Linked DNA regions of Arabidopsis thaliana. The protein of the gene in region 1 purifies or fractionates together with the protein of each later gene. This does not show direct contact. Each region holds a gene or a part of one and is shown in the gene's direction. Other genes may lie near its edges.

Region 1 (5,312 bases):
TCAATCAGTCTCTTCGCTCGCTATCATTGAAGTTTGATCTTAAAATCTATATATCTTACAGTATTTCGATGCTTGTGGCCTGTGGGTGTTATGTATCGTAATAGTTGTTTTGTTGGCTCAATTGGGAATGGTTGCAGCAAGTATTTTTTTTGGTTGATGCTTCGATGCAAGCTCTTTCATGTTTCTTTTTTTCTTTTCAACATAGTATTTGTGTAATATGCACCTACTAAAATACTCCTATGGATCCGCGACTCTTATTCCCGAAAAAGTTCACTGGATTGATCAACGTGAATTTTTACTCCACTTTTTGTTAAAAGTTAAAACGTAACCATCCACACCAGTGTCTTTTTCTTTAAATGTATATGTCTCCACGTACACACACAAATAGTATAGGTCATGTTCGTGAAACTAATTTCATATATTTGACCAGAATATTTTTATTAGAAATCATATTTTATTGACAACACATAACTAATATAAGTGCTTGAATTTGAAATACTATAGAAATAAACTAAAAGATGAGAAGCGTATAGAGATTTGATTAAGTTCACGAAAAGCGGTGGAAAAAGAGCGGCCTTGGCTTGTGAACTCTAAAAACTCAAATCTTATCATTTATGGTTTGACAAACAAAAAAAAAAGATAGATAGATAGAGAGGTGATCAGCTGATACACGTGTGTTTTCACGTTACTTCTTTTTTCGTATTTTGTGGCTCCTCACCCTTACGTCTAACGCAAAAAGAAATAGAGTATTTATTACAAAAACAAGATATGATTTGGAATATTCAATAATCTTTCTTTTGAGTCAATATTGAACTTAATTTTTGTTCAAAATAAGCTAGGGAGTTGCTCTAGATCCCCCATTTCAAATTTGACCGTAAAATTTGGATTGTTATGTGTTTCTATGTAGAAGATAGAGAAGAACTAGATAACTATATATGTAATGATATTTATATATCAAATGGGATGAAAATTAATATTGACACATTATGTGCATAATACAAAGGGATTGATTGAATGAGCATCTTTTGATTAGCCAATCATGATTTTCTGCAAAAGCATTTGGGGAGACATTGAGAACTTCCGACTGCACGGCTTTATCCTGCTACAATTGGAAGCTTTTTTTACTAAGCATTAAGTATCTCTAACAATTATAAGAGGGCAATAATAACATCCCTTTTTCTTTCTTACAAAGCAATAAAAAAGGACAATAGTAACGAAAATTCATTTTTCCCACGATTGATATCTTTTGGTTGTAGTTTTTAGATTTTCTAAAACATTTTATGTGATGGTTGATATTTCTCTACTTTTAGAAACTAAAAGAGAATGCATAGAAAATTGCGAAAAACAATGATGTCTCGATAATTAATGGGAATATGATAGTAGAATAAAACAGCCACTGCAATCAAACTACTTACTACTAATCCTCAATATTTTAGATTAACTTATGTAGATTTTCATTTATCTTTATTCTTTAGAAAATTGTTTTTTTTTTTTTTGAAACATGTTTACGTATCTTTTTTTAAGTCGTTTAATTTGTTTTTATTGGGTCACGAATGTGTACCATTCACACCCTAATTAGTAATTAGAGAAACAAATGATTACGAATATACATACTTAAGAAATTTAATGCCCCCTTGCTATACCTTGTGTACACATGTATAATGTATCTCTCTCTATAAATATGGGAGCTTGGTGATGCTTACTCATTTATGACTTCTCAATACAAAAAGCTCCCCTCACTTTTTTAAGTTTTGTCTTCTCTAATCCGTCTTCTTCTACTATCTTGCATGTCTTGCGTCTTTTATATACATCTCTCGTAAACCCTAGCAAATCATACAAGGTCAGTCCCTTTTATTTTGTTAACTCCTTACTAAACAAAGCTCTAATATATTTGGTGTTAATCATTTTTTTTAATTGTCAAAATTCAATTTGAAAACTTGTTTTGTACATATAAAATACATGTATATGTATATGGTGAAACATGTAATCTGCCTAGGTTTGGTTTTAACTTGTTCTACGTGTGTTTTTGTTTCATGTATATGTTTTTAAAACTGACTGTGAAGCTCATGGATTGTTGTCATCAGGTCAAGAAGCTTGACCTTCATTAGACTTAAGCAGTTTATAATCAACTACCACGAATAGCAATGGATAAAGATTACTCGGTACGTACGTTTTTTTTTCCAGTATTTCAAGATCCTTAATCTCTTTTCTTATACAAATTGATAGATATCTATGTATAAGATTCAAATCTTCCTGCTTATGATATTAACTTCATTCTCCAATTCTGGTTTTTATTAGGCACCAAACTTCTTAGGTGAATCCTCAGGCGGTAACGATGATAACAGCTCTGGTATGATAGACTATATGTTCAATAGAAACCTTCAACAACAACAAAAGCAATCGATGCCACAACAGCAGCAACATCAACTCTCTCCTTCCGGATTTGGAGCAACACCTTTTGATAAAATGAACTTCTCTGATGTGATGCAGTTTGCGGACTTCGGTTCGAAACTTGCGTTGAACCAGACCAGAAACCAAGACGATCAAGAAACCGGGATTGACCCCGTTTATTTCTTGAAGTTCCCTGTCTTGAACGACAAAATAGAGGACCATAACCAAACCCAACATCTCATGCCTTCTCATCAGACGTCTCAAGAAGGAGGTGAGTGTGGAGGAAACATAGGCAATGTGTTTCTTGAAGAAAAAGAAGATCAAGACGATGACAACGACAACAACTCCGTGCAACTACGTTTTATTGGAGGAGAAGAAGAAGATAGGGAGAACAAGAATGTTACGAAAAAGGAGGTGAAGAGCAAGAGGAAGAGAGCTAGAACGAGCAAGACCAGCGAAGAAGTGGAAAGCCAACGGATGACTCATATCGCGGTCGAAAGAAACCGTAGGAAGCAAATGAATGAGCATCTTCGTGTCCTTAGATCTCTCATGCCTGGCTCCTACGTTCAAAGGGTATGATATTCATAAATTATATCTTAAAGAAAGAATTTTCGTGAATGTTTTTTTATATGTATATGTACAACTAATTATACTGTCTACACCAAATATTAATTGTATAAAATAGGGAGACCAAGCGTCAATCATAGGAGGAGCAATAGAGTTTGTGAGAGAGCTCGAGCAACTCCTACAATGTCTTGAATCACAGAAGCGTCGAAGAATCTTAGGAGAAACCGGTAGGGACATGACAACGACAACGACTTCTTCTTCTTCTCCCATAACTACGGTAGCGAACCAAGCACAACCGCTCATTATTACGGGAAATGTAACCGAGCTAGAGGGCGGAGGAGGGCTTCGGGAGGAGACTGCGGAGAACAAGTCGTGCTTGGCTGACGTGGAGGTGAAGCTGCTAGGGTTTGACGCCATGATCAAGATACTTTCAAGAAGAAGGCCGGGACAGCTGATTAAGACTATAGCTGCTTTGGAGGATCTTCATCTCTCTATTCTTCACACTAACATCACTACCATGGAACAAACCGTCCTCTACTCCTTTAATGTCAAGGCAAGTTTATATGTTAAAAAGTAATTCATCATTCATATTCAGCTTTCATATGCAAAATCTAGACTCATCAAATAATACATGTAATTATCTAATCTGGATTAGCTGTCATAAAACACATTTATAATTTTATTTAGGGTTTTCAATATAATCATAGATTATGGATTTGTATTGTTAAAGTATATGTAATAACTATCAATGGCTAACATGAGGTAGATGTAAAATATGTGCAGATAACAAGTGAAACGAGGTTTACGGCAGAAGACATAGCAAGTTCCATCCAACAGATATTTAGTTTCATTCATGCAAATACCAACATGTAAGGATATATATTTTTCTGCTATTTAAATATTCTTTCGATTAAAGATACTTTTGATAAGTTTCTGTTGGTCCCTTAAAACAAAAGTTTATGTTGGTTCATTGTTATCCATTTCACATGCCTTTTGTGTTTTGTTTGTTTTTACCTTTTAGATGTCATGATTATATCTTTTTGTGTGCAATGTGGTCTATCTAATCATCAAGACATCATTACTATGTGTGTGTGTGACTCTGTGAGTGTGTGAGTATATGAGTCTGGTAAAAAGTCTTAGAGTAAAAGATATTGGTGGTTCGATGTTATACATTTTACTATTTTAGATGTCTAGCTTTTGTCTTTTGTTTGTTCTTTTACCTTTTAGATGTTATGATTATTTGCTTTTAATGTTAGATATATATGGTGTATCTAATCTATCATGGTTATTTTCTTTGTGTGTTACATATGGTGTGTATATATATATATATATATATTGTAACATATTTATCACAATATTTGAAGTGTTAAAGCTTGGAAACAATTTTATTTCAGATCTGGAAGCTCTAACCTGGGAAATATTGTGTTTACTTGAAAATCATCACACGGCGACAACTTTGTACACTGGTGAAGATTACAGTACGTAATAATCTCTACATATTGGGTTTTATTCTCCAAGCATTTGGAAGAGTGTTTAAGTTAAAGGGAGTGCTTACTTTATTTTTTTGGGGCTTTTTTCATGCAATTTAAATTTTAGTGATGATTGTGTCGCTTGTAATGTTAGAACTCGTTGTTGTGATTTCTGCTGCTTTGATTTGTAGGTTTTGAACAAGCGGTTTAGAATGCTAAACCACTTATTTACTTGAAATAACTTTTTTCACAAAATAAAAAAGAAAAGAAAAAAACAATGCATGAAAACTTTTCTTGAGGGGAGGGAGAGGAACTATCATTTTCTTGAGATTTGTCTATGAGAAATGGGCCAATATATATACAACAAGAAAACATGAAGAAAAAAAAGGTTAGAAATAGCCAGTTTTAATCTTCAAAAAATTGACCATTCGGTTAAACAAAGTGACGCTTTTACACTTTTTCAAAAGTGATTTGACTAAAGAAACTAAGTGTCAGAATTCAGAAAAACAAATTCATTTAGGAGACTCAAAATGATTGTCTTTAATCTTTCTCTCGTACGTCAACAAAGACGAAACTCTTGTCTTCATCTTCTTTATATATTCACCATTAGCTCTAATCCAAGTCAGATCCGACACATACACAATAAATTCCAAAAGCACTGCTTGGTTTTCTTCTCACACCAAGTAGGTTCGTACGGGGGTAAGATCTTGACAGAGTCCAAGGCCAGAGAATTCCAATTCCAAATCCGTCCAAGACTTGAAGATCCTTTGTTATATAGCTTATATTAATTCATCGAAGGTAAGCAAAAAAGATTCGTGTTTGTCAATCGTATTATTGTGTTAAATGGTAAGATAATCATTGTAATTACTTTTGAAAATGGAGAGA
Region 2 (3,246 bases), on another chromosome or scaffold:
AGTTTCGCGTATATAGAGAGAGAGAAGAAGACAACAAGATATAATCCATTGAGAAGAAGGCAACAGTATAATTAAGTCGTTAATCATTATTAATTAGCATTGTTTTTGGCTAATTAATTAGCGTTATTAGTCGTTGTTAAATGACCTTACTTACTTACTGGAGTAGTCTAATTTTTTCTGGGTCCCACTTTACTTCCAAGAGTGTGAAATCACCTGCGGCTGGTCCTACTATACCATAAAGTCAAAACCGGACCGGTTCAGTTCTGTAAATGTTGAATTCTAAGCAATGGATTTAAGTATTTAACCGAACCGACTCTTTAAAAAATTGCTGTTCGACAAGTTTATACAATTATTACTGTTCAATTCTTCATTTGGCATTATATGATATATCGATTTAGTTGTGACTTTTGAGCATGTGTTTTTTTTTCTGATTCTAAAGTTGTTTTGGAAAAGATTGTTTGTTTTCATTTGACATTATATAGTTAAGCATGTTCTGTTATCTGTATACAAATCATCGTGCTTGTGGTTTTGGGATTATGTGAAGTAATACAGCAAAGATGCGTAATTTATTTTAAGTATCAAAATTATTCTCTTATCCACATTGTATATAGTCAAAATATATATTACAGACTGAATTAAACAGACTTAATAATAGGCAAAATGTACATATATTTGCATTAGAAGATTTCAATATATGTGTTTTTTTTCTTTCAGAAAGGTCATTTGACTCATAAGTTATAACAGCTAGCTTATATAGTCCTTAGTCCTTACTCATGAAAAAAGAATAATTTGTTTTGTTATTTGGGGTCTACTACTAACATTAGAAGCAGACGTGGGATTTAATTTGATTTATTAAAATTGTGGTGGGTAATATTTAGACTGAATCTATGAAATCGATAGCTTGTAACCTTACTCACTCTCAATTTAATTATATTAGTTTTGTTTCTCATCACGACTGAGACGTGTAACGAATATATCGACTGATCAACCACTAGTTATTAATTTAAACGACTTTAATTTGTATTAATATCATATCTTAATGACTTGAGTAGAAGAATAATAGAATAAGCATAGAAAACATTGACCAAATCCTTGTGTACGATACAATCATGTATTATATACAGATTTATTTGTTACTAGTAAATATGATTAGAACTTGCATTAGACAATGGTCAAGTTTGTTGATGTTTCCAGTTATGGAGAAGCCATAATTTGAGTAGCATTAGACATTGATTAATCAAGAAAAGAAAAATAATATCATCTACTAGTGTCAACACTACAGACGCAGCGAGCGAGCAATTATAGACGCAGTATCTAAACGCTGATCGGTGTACGAATTTGCGGTTCATTTCAACGCTTGGCAAAATTCACAACGTGGAAGACATTGCGAGTTTACGACAAACTAGTGGGGTTGTTTTAAGTAAACTAAAACTTGTAGGGGTTTTCTCAAAAATAAAATAAAATAACTTGTAGGGGTCACAAATGAAAAATAAAAAGTATTGAATATCCTACGTGGCATTTGTTTTTTTCATCTCCTACGTGGCATTACGAAATGAAGAAAAAACTGATCTGACGGATCTGCTTAACCAGTTGAAGATAACGTTAGTAAGGAAGATATCCAGACCAAAGCCACACAACATTAGCCACGTGTCATAACCACAATCACTTACCGGATCTTCTCTCCCTCGTATTTGAAGCCACACAACATGAACATTAGGGTGAGAAGAGATCGAGAGAAGAATAGTTTGATCATCTTGTGAGAAAAATAATGGCTGCTTCAGTGATGCTATCTTCGGTGACATTGAAACCAGCTGGTTTCACGGTGGAGAAGACGGCGGCTAGAGGATTACCGTCGCTCACAAGAGCTCGTCCCTCCTTCAAAATTGTCGCCAGTGGCGTCAAGAAGATCAAGACCGACAAGCCCTTCGGTTCGTTTATATTATTATTACACAGACTTTTACAACATATACACGTTACCGTTCATGTATAGCTTATTTCCGTTAATCGATGTGTGTGTAGGAATTAACGGCAGCATGGACTTGAGGGACGGCGTCGACGCCTCCGGCAGAAAGGGCAAGGTTTGTAGTAACTGAAAACGGTGTTGTTTAATATCCTTTTTAATAATAATTTGGTGGGTTCTCTAAACAATGACGTATAATCGCAGGGATACGGTGTTTACAAGTACGTCGACAAGTATGGAGCTAACGTCGATGGATACAGGTGAATTAGAATTATCATCCTCCATAACATTTTTTGTAGATAAGAAAGAACCATGGATTACGTAGTAGATGATTGATTTTTAATGTTTGGGTTGCAGTCCTATTTACAACGAGAACGAGTGGTCAGCGAGTGGTGACGTGTACAAGGGAGGAGTCACCGGATTGGCAATTTGGGCGGTAACTCTCGCCGGAATTCTTGCCGGAGGTGCTCTTCTTGTGTACAACACAAGTGCTTTGGCTCAGTAAATCTTAAAGTTGTTAGCGCATGTGTAATCATGTTTCTATAAATGTTTCTGTGTTGTTCTCTTTCTCTCTAATGTTGTAAAACTCAGACATACTTTGAATTTATAAGACTTCTAGTGTTTGTATATATATTCATCTTCCTATCCTTTATGATTTCCATGCACAAGAATGGTTTCGGATTTAAGACTGAACCATATGAGTGTTTTTTTTTAATTGATGAAACTTGAAACAAGAGGTGAACATGATGAGAGAAAATCAAGTGTTGTACATCCATAGATCCGAAAGTCTCAAGCTTAAGTGTTATGTCATTGGAAATCGTCAAGCGAGTCTTCTTCTTCTTCTTCGCGATGTGAAGCCGAGGAAGAGCTGCTGCTCATCAAAGGAGTTGATCGATGAACTTCTCCATCTAACATCAACAATCTCACTTTCTGCAACACCATTGCCAACGTAAGGAGGACGAATTGATGCAAAAAAAATTACGTTCTTGTTAAAAGGATGGATTTTTGCAATCTTCAGAGATGGGTTAAGATTAAGAATAGAGGAAGCAAACCTTCTCAATTTCGTCTTGAAGAGCAGGGTTTTCCCTTAAGTGCTGCAGTGCTTTCTCTCTTCCTTGCCCGAGCCTGAAAACAGAGACCCAAAACACAACCATATCTCATACTCTGTACCCACTTCTATAACATAATCAAAAGTCTTCAGGAATTATGAGTTTTCAATGTAGAATCCAAACCTTTGGTCTTCGTAGCTGTACCAGGAACCTTTCTTGACCACAACTTCCATAATT
Region 3 (5,089 bases), on another chromosome or scaffold:
AATAGGACATGAACACAAGAGAAACACCAAGGACTTTACCTGGATTGCACAGTCCCGAAATGCCTCAAGAGACTTTAAAGTTAACCTCTGGGAATAAACCAATTCATCAAAAATCTGCTGACTGATATCTCTAGGTAGGTCAGAGAACTTGGTATATCTATCAATGTCCTGCAATGAAACAGAGTTCAAACATTAGGCTAGCGTTTATACACTAATTAGAGCCTGGTAAGTGGAAACAATATACCTCCTGTATCTTGCGGACACAGAGCTCCATAAGCGACGGGCATTCTCCATTCTTCCGTTTAACATCGGAGCCAGACCTAGAGAGCGAAGTAGCTAACCATTTCGAACTTGAACTCTTGCTATATTTTCCAGAGACACCTCTGTTTAAAATATCCTCAACTTGTTGATCTCTCTTCCTTGAACAAGCTCCTCCCATGATAATGTAATCCAGAATCATCAATCTTCTTTAGAGACTGAAACAGAGCACGATCACAATCCCTCACTCACGTCAAAAATTTGACTTACAAAAATTTCCCCAAGAATTTTTCATTCAACTTTGCAGGTTCTTATACATAAAAAAAAAACCACATTTACCTTGTCAAAGATCTCTACTTTCGTACGATCATCAAAAAGAGATAGTCAAATACGATAAAATGATTCAAACTCACATCAATCGGATGAAAACAAACACAAACAATTACAGTAACAAATGAGATAAGTGTGAATCATCACTATGTGAAGCGTTTAATTCCCAACAGTAAAACCCAGAAACCCAAAGTAAAGCTAATTCAAACAAAAACGAATCAAAGAGATTAGCAAGCTTAATATAAAAGACAAGTAAAGGGAAGCAATATAAAGTAACTGTTCACCAGGAAACAGTTGTGCTAGTTGATCGAATAAGCTGATACGTACCTTATCATAACGACGATCGATCGCAGATTATTAGTCCTGAGGAAATTTTGTGAGGGTTTAACAGTGATCTCTTTGATCAAAACCTTTTTTTTGTTTTGTTGGTGTTGTGATTTTGAGGAGACGGTGATTGAACAAGGAAGGTGAGGAATAAGAAAGAGAGAAGAGTATAGAAATGTGCAAAGTGGCCGTGAGCCGAGCCTGTTTCTTAACCTACTATCGGATGACACGTGTAAGATGAATCACCCTTAGTGAGGAAAGGAGTTAGGTTCGGAACAATCTAATGCGTTTTTGAGATAAGATGGAAGAATAAAGAAGGTCAAGGTCCCACTTTTAAGTGGACCCCTCTTTGAGATTTCAACGATTTATTTCTTTTGTATTGATGTTCCTTGTTGTTTCTTTTCTTCTTATTCCTTTTTGTTTTACTCCATCTCAATTAATTAAACCTGCGTTACAACACAAACTTCGAATCGTATAGTATTTCATTTCTAAATTCTAATAGTATAGGGAACTCTTAATTTTTTTGCATTGGACCAACGTTACTTTTTGCTTTTAAATATACAAACTTTATATTCAAATTAGCCACATTTTTTAGTTTATAACCGAAAAAAAATTGTGAGATGATGAAGAGTAACCTTGGATATGCATAAACAAGAAAATCAATAAATATAATTACTCGAAATTTGACAGTTCTTGTTTTAGAAACAATTTTAATCACATTATCTTCTGTTGACATCAATACAGTTGCAAAACAAACTAATTCTCGAAACTGATATCAGAAATTGTCGCCATATATTTGTTATAACTAGATTTAGGATTATGCTCTTCTTCAAGTTTTGCATCTAATTTTGATGCACGCATTCTGAATTTCTGATTAATATATTTTGTAACAAAAATGACTACAATATCTCATGTGCTATAATTTTAATCCTTTTTCATACATTTATGTTTTACCATTTTGTTTTTCTTTCGAAATAATACAAGTCAAATCTCGACCGTTGGATGGAACCGGAAAAAAAAAACAATGTAAAAAAACCGCGTAAATTCTGAAGCTAGCAAGTGTCTAACTGTCTATCTCTATGTCCGAACCTTCACAGAATACCTTGAACCCTAATAACAATGGCGACGCTGTTGAAACTCGACATAGCCACGACTTTCCTTGCTTTCATCGTTCCCCGAGCTAATACCTCCTTGAACCATCGGTTCGCTTCTGCTAGGCTCAGTACAGCCACAGTTTCCCTCAGAACGAAGTCGTCATCGTTCTATTCCGCGGCGCTTTACTCTGACAGCCGTCGGAGATTCCACTCCGCCGTTGCCTCTGATTCCTCGCTCGCCGTTGTAGATGATGAAGATATCTTCGATGTTGCCAGTGAGATTTTGCCCGACAATCGAATTCCGGCCACTATAATCACCGGGTTCCTGGGCTCTGGTAAGGTGAGGCTAATCTAGGGTTCATGATTCGGAAATTCCTGCTCAATTTTGAGCGATCAGATTCTGAATTTCACTGGAATTGTTTTTTTCTGAGTGTATAGACAACATTGCTAAACCATATATTGACGGGAGATCATGGGAAGCGCATAGCCGTGATTGAGAACGAGGTATTGTCTGAGAAGCTGAATAGAGATTGTTTTATGTTTTATGGTTTCACTAATTTGTTCTGAAATGTGAATTCTCAGTTTGGTGAAGTCGACATTGATGGATCACTTGTGGCAGCTCAAACTGCGGGAGCGGAGGATATAATGATGCTTAACAATGGCTGTCTGTGTTGTACTGTTAGGGGTGATCTTGTGAGGATGATTTCTGAAATGGTCCAGACCAAGAAAGGAAGGTTCGACCATATCGTTATTGAGACGACAGGTTCAATATTTTCTATCACTCTGGAGCTACATGATTCGTTAAGAACCAACTACTATGTTATTAAAGAATAAATGAATATATTATGTATATTTTCTTTCAGGATTGGCTAACCCTGCTCCGATTATTCAAACTTTCTATGCTGAGGATGAAATTTTCAATGATGTCAAGCTGGATGGGGTTGTCACTCTGGTTGATGCTAAACATGCTCGTTTGCATCTAGATGAGGTCAAACCTGAAGGCTATGTCAATGAGGCGGTTGAACAAATAGCTTACGCGGATCGTATCATTGTTAACAAGGTATTGTGAAGTTCTATTTCGACCTAATTTTCATGATTAACATCACCATAACTTGTATTTGAAATGTGTGGTGGATGCTTATAGTAGAAGCTTTTCAATGGTCTGCTATGTATGTTCTCCTCGACATATCATACAAGCTGAAAATTGTTTGTACTTTGTTGTAGACTGATCTTGTTGGTGAGCCAGAACTAGCTTCAGTGATGCAGCGGATAAAGGTAGGTTCTGCTTCTTCTGATTCTTTCTTTTTTCTCTTTGAACATCTATTTTTCTCTGTGCACTGCGTTAGCATTTATGATGTGGTTATTTCCAGACCATAAACAGCATGGCTCACATGAAGCGGACAAAGTATGGGAAGGTTGACTTGGATTATGTTCTTGGAATTGGAGGGTTTGATCTAGAAAGGTCCGGTTTTATTTTACGTCTTACTAAAAATCTTATTACGAGTCACTCCGAAAACTTCTGTCCAAAGTGAATTGTAGCTCCTTACATTTGTTATGGTTTATTGGTTGTGGATTTCCTGGTTTAAGAGGGCTGATTTTGTTACTCTGATTTATTGCTGGTGGCCAACTATTTTATCTTTCCAGAATTGAAAGCTCTGTGAATGAAGAAGAGAAAGAAGATCGCGAGGGTCATGATGATCATCACCATGGTCATGACTGCCATGATCACCACAATGAGCATGAGCATGAGCATGAACACGGTATGTTATAGTGTTACCAAATAATGGCCTTATTACTTAATAACGATCGCCTACATGCATTGATTAGTTTGCTTCTGAAACTGCAGAGCATCACCATTCTCATGATCACACCCATGACCCTGGTGTTGGTTCAGTCAGTATAGTTTGCGAAGGAGACTTAGACCTCGAGAAGGTATTAACCCAATATGGCTCAAGTTGTGTCACATGTGATGCATAAAACTGTAGCACCTGACGTGTTACTTATAATTAAAACGATTGTTGAGATGTGCGATTGATTACTTGCATCATCTATAACCTTAGTTTTGAAAATGGATCAGGCTAACATGTGGCTTGGGGCGCTATTGTACCAACGTAGTGAGGATATCTACAGAATGAAAGGTATCCTCTCCGTACAAGACATGGACGAGAGATTCGTGTTTCAGGTGACCAACCTTTGTCATTATTTTGATCATTTCGGATGAATTCTAAAGCATCGAAGCCTTGGGATGTAAATTATCTCTGACGTTTGTGGTTTATAATGGTTGGAACAGGGAGTTCATGAAATATTTGAAGGATCACCTGACCGGTTATGGAGAAAAGATGAAACAAGAACCAACAAGATTGTTTTCATCGGCAAGAATTTGAACCGGGAGGAGTTAGAGATGGGTTTCAGAGCTTGCTTGATTTGATTATAGGACCAAATATTTAAAATCATTCCATTTTGTAATCAACTGGTCAATAGATTTTTGAACAAGAAATATCGTCTAAAGCTTGACACTAACTACAAGAGCCTGAATCAAGAACATATTAAAGCCTTCACCGTACAAAAAGTGAGTCCCTTTCTAACACAAGCGGCAAAACTACACAAGATCCCAAAACCAAAATGCCCATAAGTTAGAAGGTAAGATTCCTACTACTGACGACCAAGTAAATTCCTCCACTTATCCTTCAAATCCACCTCGCTCCTATCAGCGAAAACAACAGGGTATGAATTCTTGATATCTTTCCATGATTTTCCATATTCTTTAACTCCTTCCCTCAAAGCTGCCACTTCTTCAGAAGTCCAGAATTTCATTGGCCTTCTGGGACGCGGTCTTTCTAATCTTCCTTTCTTCAACGGTGATACATTCAGAGGTTCCGGGGTTGGTAGATGAGGCCTGACTCTTCTAGACGATGATGTTCCCTCACTATCTTCTGCATCAGTCCTATTTGCCCCATCAGGCTGAGGAGTGACATCAACTGAATGCTCCATTGCATTGTTAGGTTCTTGATCTTGCCTTGTTATAGGGTCGATGAGTCTTTGAATCTCCAACAAAAAATCCTTAAGCTCTCGAGCTACCAACA
Region 4 (4,912 bases), on another chromosome or scaffold:
CTATTGATTCCGTCAAAACGGTGCGAGCGCGGAGCTCGGCTTAATCGGTTGTCAGACGAAACCAAAGTTTGTCGAAACTATTGATTCCGTCGAAACGGTGCGAGCGCGGAGCTCGGCTTAGCACTCCCTTAAGTGTAGGTTTTATCCAAGACCGTTTTACCGATACATGGCATACTTAAAGGGGTTCGTGCGTTCGTTTATCGATCGAATGCCGGGCCAGGACACCGATGTAAATTAGCTCGATCGCTACGAGGTCCAGCGGAACCCTTTTTAAGAATAATGATGAATTGAATTACGACAAAAATGAAAATTTTACTTATCTCAACGCAAGAGTTTGTGGTACGATCGAGTTTTGACGGTCGAGTTCGTTGATACAATTATCGAAAAGACGATGCTCAATGTCTGCCCTAGTTCTTGTCAGTTCGTTCGTCCGACGTGACGTTATGCTAAGTGGCATCGTTTTCTTCGTTTTAGTGGGATGGCGTTGGAACGAGATCTCCGACGTTTTGAGTGACGATGTGAATTTCGCTGTTGAGGAGAGTTTGGCTTTTCTTCAGTTCGCCTAGCTCCAGCGGGTGCTGTTACTTTCACTTTGCAAGATGGCGCAAATGGCGTTTGGTTGGTTGCGTCGTTGTGTACGTCCAGAGCCGTCTGGTTCTTTCGTTTAGCTTCTCGTAGCCTGCCGACATGATGTGTTTTGTTAGTCGTTTTGGTGTGGTCATTGCTTTGCGGTATTCGCAAAACATTGGCGTCAGTGTCGGATCGTCGATATCTCTTATGGCGCGTCCGACCTCATGGACCCTGGAGATGGCTCAATTGATTTGGGCGTGAAGGTCTTGCACTTGGTATCTCGTTTATAGCGGTCTGAGGAATTGCCGAGCTGGGTTTGTTTAAGACAACCTGAATTTCTTCGCGTAGGTCGGGTATGCGAATAACGACTCATGTGCATGCGGCTAATTTTATCTTGTATGTGCTCTTGGGCGGCGGTTAATAATCGCGTCGCGCTGCTTTAAATGATCGATGATGATGTTGATTAGTTCTTCGCCGCGTTGGTTGGCTTTAGCCGTATCGTCCAGGCGATGAAATCAGCTAAGTGAAGCTTCTCCTTGGTCTTTTTGCAACGCTAGGTATTCAGGCGTGGGCGATAACGAGGTCGGTACAATAGATGACGCCGAGTAGTATTCTTTATTTGAGTTTTCCCGTGCGCTGACGTTATCGTCCGAGCTGCCGAGCTGGGAGTGTCATCGTCGAGGTTCTCCAAGTGACGTCCGCCTGATGACTTCTCCTCTTGTTCTTGGTTAGGCGTGAGTGATAACGAGGTCGGTATGTTTATTGAGGTTATGGGATGTTCCTCTTTGATCGGTGGCACTTCCTCGTCGGTCAGTGTTATTGTCCTGACTGCCCGGCTGGAAGTGTCATCGCCTAGGATGATGGGGTCGATAGTTCCTTGAAGTCCTTTTCTTGTCGGAGAACATGCTGCGATATCGAATGAAGAGGTCGAGTGACTGGCTCTCCCGGGGATCGACGTTGTCGTTTTACTTCCAGAGCCTGACGAGTCGGTATCGAATGCTCCATGTAGTCTGTTTGTTGTCACTTTGCTTCGTCGCTGGGTCGTAGTTTTGAGAGATATCTTCGAGCTATCCCCCTACCTGGCGCGCCAACCGTTGATGCACGAATCACACAAGTACGAAAATGGGATCTCTAGGGAAGGAAGAAGAATCGTTCTATTAATGACGAGCCCGCGACTTAGGCGAATTGGACGGATTACAAAGGATGATTTCTTCAACAAGCATAAATGGAAAAAGAACGAGCCGATTGTAGATGAAAGACGAGCTTGAGGCCGGAAAACGATCTTGATATCCGAGGAAGAATAGAGTTTATTCGTTTTATAGCTGAACCTTGTAAAAGGCTGCCTACGTACCCTCAGAAAGGGATCAAGCCACACGTAGTTCATATTAGAATAAGTGAGCTAGGCCGTCATTGGAGGTAGGTCGGCAGGTAGTTGACGAGCCGGCAAATGTGCGACGAGCTGGATGAACCGTGGTAGAGAGACTTGGACAAACCGAGTTGTTTGCTGGTGTAGACGAGCTGGGCGACGAGATAGGTGGACTATGCAGTCAATGGACGAACTGCCGCTAGGCGAGGAGGTAGATGAGTTTTGCAGTCGAGGGATGAGCTGATAGCTAGACGAGGAGTTGGTCGAGCTGAGGAAGAGCTTGAAGACGAGCTGAGGAGCTTGATGACGAGCTGAGGAGCTTGAGGACGAGCCGAGGAGCTTGAAGAGCTTAAAGGCGATCTGAAGAGCTTGACGAAGAGGAGCGAGCTAACGAGCTTCTTGAGAAGGGCGAGACCCCAATTCTTGAGAAGGGCGAGACCCCAAATACAATCAACAATGTATGCTTTTTTCCGTTTCTTGCGTTTTGGGTTTCTTTATTTCTTATCTCTATTGAGACAAGTCTGTTGGCCCTTGAGACCCCAATTCATTGGTGTTTCTTAAACCGGATATGTATAACTGTCTAAAACAAAATTTAAAATAGCCTAGTAAACCGATGGTTATGACTGTTACGGTTTCCGGTTAGTCTTAACCGACTCTTTCAATTACAAATCCAATCTTCTCGTCGTCGTCGTCGTCTCTATTTCTCTACCACCGTTGATGTTAGGGTTTCGGCTGTATTCTCACCGCTGCTGACGGAGACGGCCCGAATCCGCAATTTAATCTTCGAGGTTCGATTTTAGTGAAGAACAAGATTCAATAGTGATATGCAGATCTCATGTCTCCCAATTTCGATTCCTTCGATCACTCCTCGAACCTCAATTCCACTCTTACCATCACTCTCCTCAAATCCTCGCCGCATTTTCAACCTCACTTCACTTCAGAGCCCAAATCACTGTTTCTTCAAAAGATTACATAAATCTCAGACTGGTTTCAGCAATCCAGTTTTGGCTGCCATGAGAAGAGAAGAAGATGTTGAAGTCGATGATTCGTTTTATATGAGAAAGTGTGTGGAGCTAGCAAAAAGAGCAATTGGGTGTACAAGTCCTAATCCTATGGTAGGTTGTGTCATTGTCAAAGATGGTGACATTGTTGGCCAAGGGTTTCATCCCAAAGCTGGTCAGCCTCATGCTGAGGTAACAAAAATTCAATCTTTCTTTGTTGGGTTACTGAAAATGAGCAAACTTTAAGTCTTGCTTGTGGAATTGTTGTTGTTGGCATTGGTATGGTAGGTGTTTGCTCTTAGAGATGCTGGAGAGTTAGCTGAGAATGCTACTGCTTATGTTAGTTTGGAACCATGTAATCATTACGGAAGAACACCGCCGTGTACAGAAGCATTGATTAAGGCTAAGGTGAGAAGAGTTGTTATTGGGATGGTTGATCCGAATCCAATTGTTTTTTCTTCGGGTATTAGTCGGTTGAAAGATGCTGGAATCGATGTTACTGTGAGTGTTGAAGAAGAGTTATGCAAGAAGATGAATGAGGGATTCATCCATCGAATGTTAACAGGGAAGCCTTTTCTCGCCCTCAGGTAAAGTTCATTGCTTCTCTTGAGTGGAGACAAATCCGAGTCAATAGATTGTTTTTAAGTTTTGAAAATCTTTGCAGGTATTCTATGTCTGTCAATGGTTGTTTGCTAGACAAGATTGGGCAAGGGGCTTCGGATAGTGGTGGATACTACTCGAAGCTATTGCAGGAATATGATGCGATAATACTTTCTTCCTCGTTATCGGATGAACTCTCGAGCATTTCTTCACAAGAAGCTATTAATGTTTCGATCCAACCTATTCAGATCATAGTAGCTAGCAATGCACAACAGTCTCATATCCTTGCTTCTTCCCACACTGTGGAAGAATCGGGTCCAAAAGTTGTAGTTTTCACCGCAAAGGAATCGGTTGCAGAATCCGGAATCAGTAGTAGCGGGGTCGAAACCGTAGTATTGGAAAAGATAAACTTGGATTCCATTTTGGATTATTGTTACAACCGTGGACTATGCAGTGTCTTGTTAGATTTGAGGGGGAACGTCAAAGACCTTGAAGTTCTTCTGAGAGATGGATTTGAGCAGAAACTATTGCAGAAAGTAATTATTGAGGTCTTGCCGGAATGGAGCACAAAAGATGAGAGACAGATCGCGTCGATGAAGTGGTTAGAATCAAAGCATGTGAAAGATTTGCAGTCTAAGCAATTAGGTGGAAGCGTTTTGCTAGAGGGCTATTTTTGATGTTTTCATGTATGAATGAATACAAGTCATGATATTTACCTTTTTTAAAGCATAGTATTATTAAGGTTTTACAGATCCTATTATTAATAGATTGATAACAGATTTTTGAGAAAATGTTGTATTTTCAAAAGAAAATATTTTCACATGTTGAGAATCTGATTCGACCTTCTATGGCCTACACATGATGGGTATCCTAAGATGAGATGTTTTTTCTTAATTGGAGTTCATAAACCAAAACCCATAAAAAAAATTAAGGATGTGTAATAGAATGTGAAGTACATTCAATGAGAACTGATTGTTGATGTCGATTGCGTTACAAATTTGACAATTCTTTTTGGATTTTGGTGGAAATGTGAACTAACTGACAACAAACATCAACCATGTTGGATTTGTTTTTGTCAAAACCGATATATCTAGAGATATTCGAAAGAAAGAACGAAATAAACACTATACAATAGTCAATTTTAAATCACTTTATGATTTAACAATCCTAAGTTCCTAACTTCAAATTTAAGATTTACAATAGCATGAATTTTAGTCTTTCTTATTGTTTCATAGCATTATTGTATTAAAAAATTACTCTACAGTTACACCATCTCTCTTTATAATGGTTGTTTCAATTGAGTTAATCATTTACTATTAATCTGAAAATTTGTAGTATGAATGTTATTGTTGGTACACAAATTGGTGATGGAACA

The links.
Region 2: the proteins of FMA (region 1) and PSBR purify together in Arabidopsis thaliana (affinity purification with mass spectrometry, with the first as the bait; one study listed by BioGRID). This does not show direct contact.
Region 3: the proteins of FMA (region 1) and AT1G15730 purify together in Arabidopsis thaliana (affinity purification with mass spectrometry, with the first as the bait; one study listed by BioGRID). This does not show direct contact.
Region 4: the proteins of FMA (region 1) and PyrD purify together in Arabidopsis thaliana (affinity purification with mass spectrometry, with the first as the bait; one study listed by BioGRID). This does not show direct contact.

Annotation. Positions count from the first base shown.
Region 1 is NC_003074.8:8,714,605-8,719,916, reverse strand, and holds FMA (basic helix-loop-helix (bHLH) DNA-binding superfamily protein), read left to right. Parts: upstream 1-1,705; 5' UTR 1,706-1,840; intron 1,841-2,084; 5' UTR 2,085-2,144; coding exon 2,145-2,162; intron 2,163-2,298; coding exon 2,299-2,964; intron 2,965-3,076; coding exon 3,077-3,511; intron 3,512-3,741; coding exon 3,742-3,827; coding exon of another isoform or gene 3,828-3,831; exon of another isoform or gene 3,832-4,352; coding exon 4,353-4,392; 3' UTR 4,393-4,799; downstream 4,800-5,312. UniProt on the Arabidopsis thaliana protein: Transcription activator. Together with MYB88 and MYB124, ensures that stomata contain just two guard cells (GCs) by enforcing a single symmetric precursor cell division before stomatal maturity. Together with SPCH and MUTE, regulates the stomata formation.
Region 2 is NC_003070.9:29,734,317-29,737,562, forward strand, and holds PSBR (photosystem II subunit R), read left to right. Parts: upstream 1-1,635; 5' UTR 1,636-1,768; coding exon 1,769-1,928; intron 1,929-2,019; coding exon 2,020-2,078; intron 2,079-2,164; coding exon 2,165-2,220; intron 2,221-2,317; coding exon 2,318-2,465; 3' UTR 2,466-2,693; downstream 2,694-3,246. Other genes in the region: RECA1 (recA DNA recombination family protein), read right to left, coding at 2,768-2,890, 3,013-3,085, 3,193-3,246.
Region 3 is NC_003070.9:5,406,880-5,411,968, reverse strand, and holds AT1G15730 (Cobalamin biosynthesis CobW-like protein), read left to right. Parts: upstream 1-1,925; 5' UTR 1,926-2,031; coding exon 2,032-2,346; intron 2,347-2,444; coding exon 2,445-2,510; intron 2,511-2,588; coding exon 2,589-2,769; intron 2,770-2,869; coding exon 2,870-3,066; intron 3,067-3,230; coding exon 3,231-3,281; intron 3,282-3,376; coding exon 3,377-3,468; intron 3,469-3,650; coding exon 3,651-3,766; intron 3,767-3,852; coding exon 3,853-3,938; intron 3,939-4,083; coding exon 4,084-4,188; intron 4,189-4,296; coding exon 4,297-4,434; 3' UTR 4,435-4,568; downstream 4,569-5,089. Other genes in the region: AT1G15740 (Leucine-rich repeat family protein), read right to left, coding at 40-168, 245-460; TRFL5 (TRF-like 5), read right to left, coding at 4,659-5,089.
Region 4 is NC_003075.7:11,209,317-11,214,228, forward strand, and holds PyrD (Cytidine/deoxycytidylate deaminase family protein), read left to right. Parts: upstream 1-1,927; 5' UTR 1,928-2,760; coding exon 2,761-3,129; intron 3,130-3,225; coding exon 3,226-3,524; intron 3,525-3,601; coding exon 3,602-4,214; 3' UTR 4,215-4,380; downstream 4,381-4,912. Other genes in the region: AT4G20953 (uncharacterized protein), read right to left, coding at 442-679, 1,212-1,548, 1,736-1,793. UniProt on the Arabidopsis thaliana protein: Monofunctional pyrimidine deaminase involved in the riboflavin biosynthesis pathway. Also has a reductase domain that lacks catalytically essential substrate-binding residues.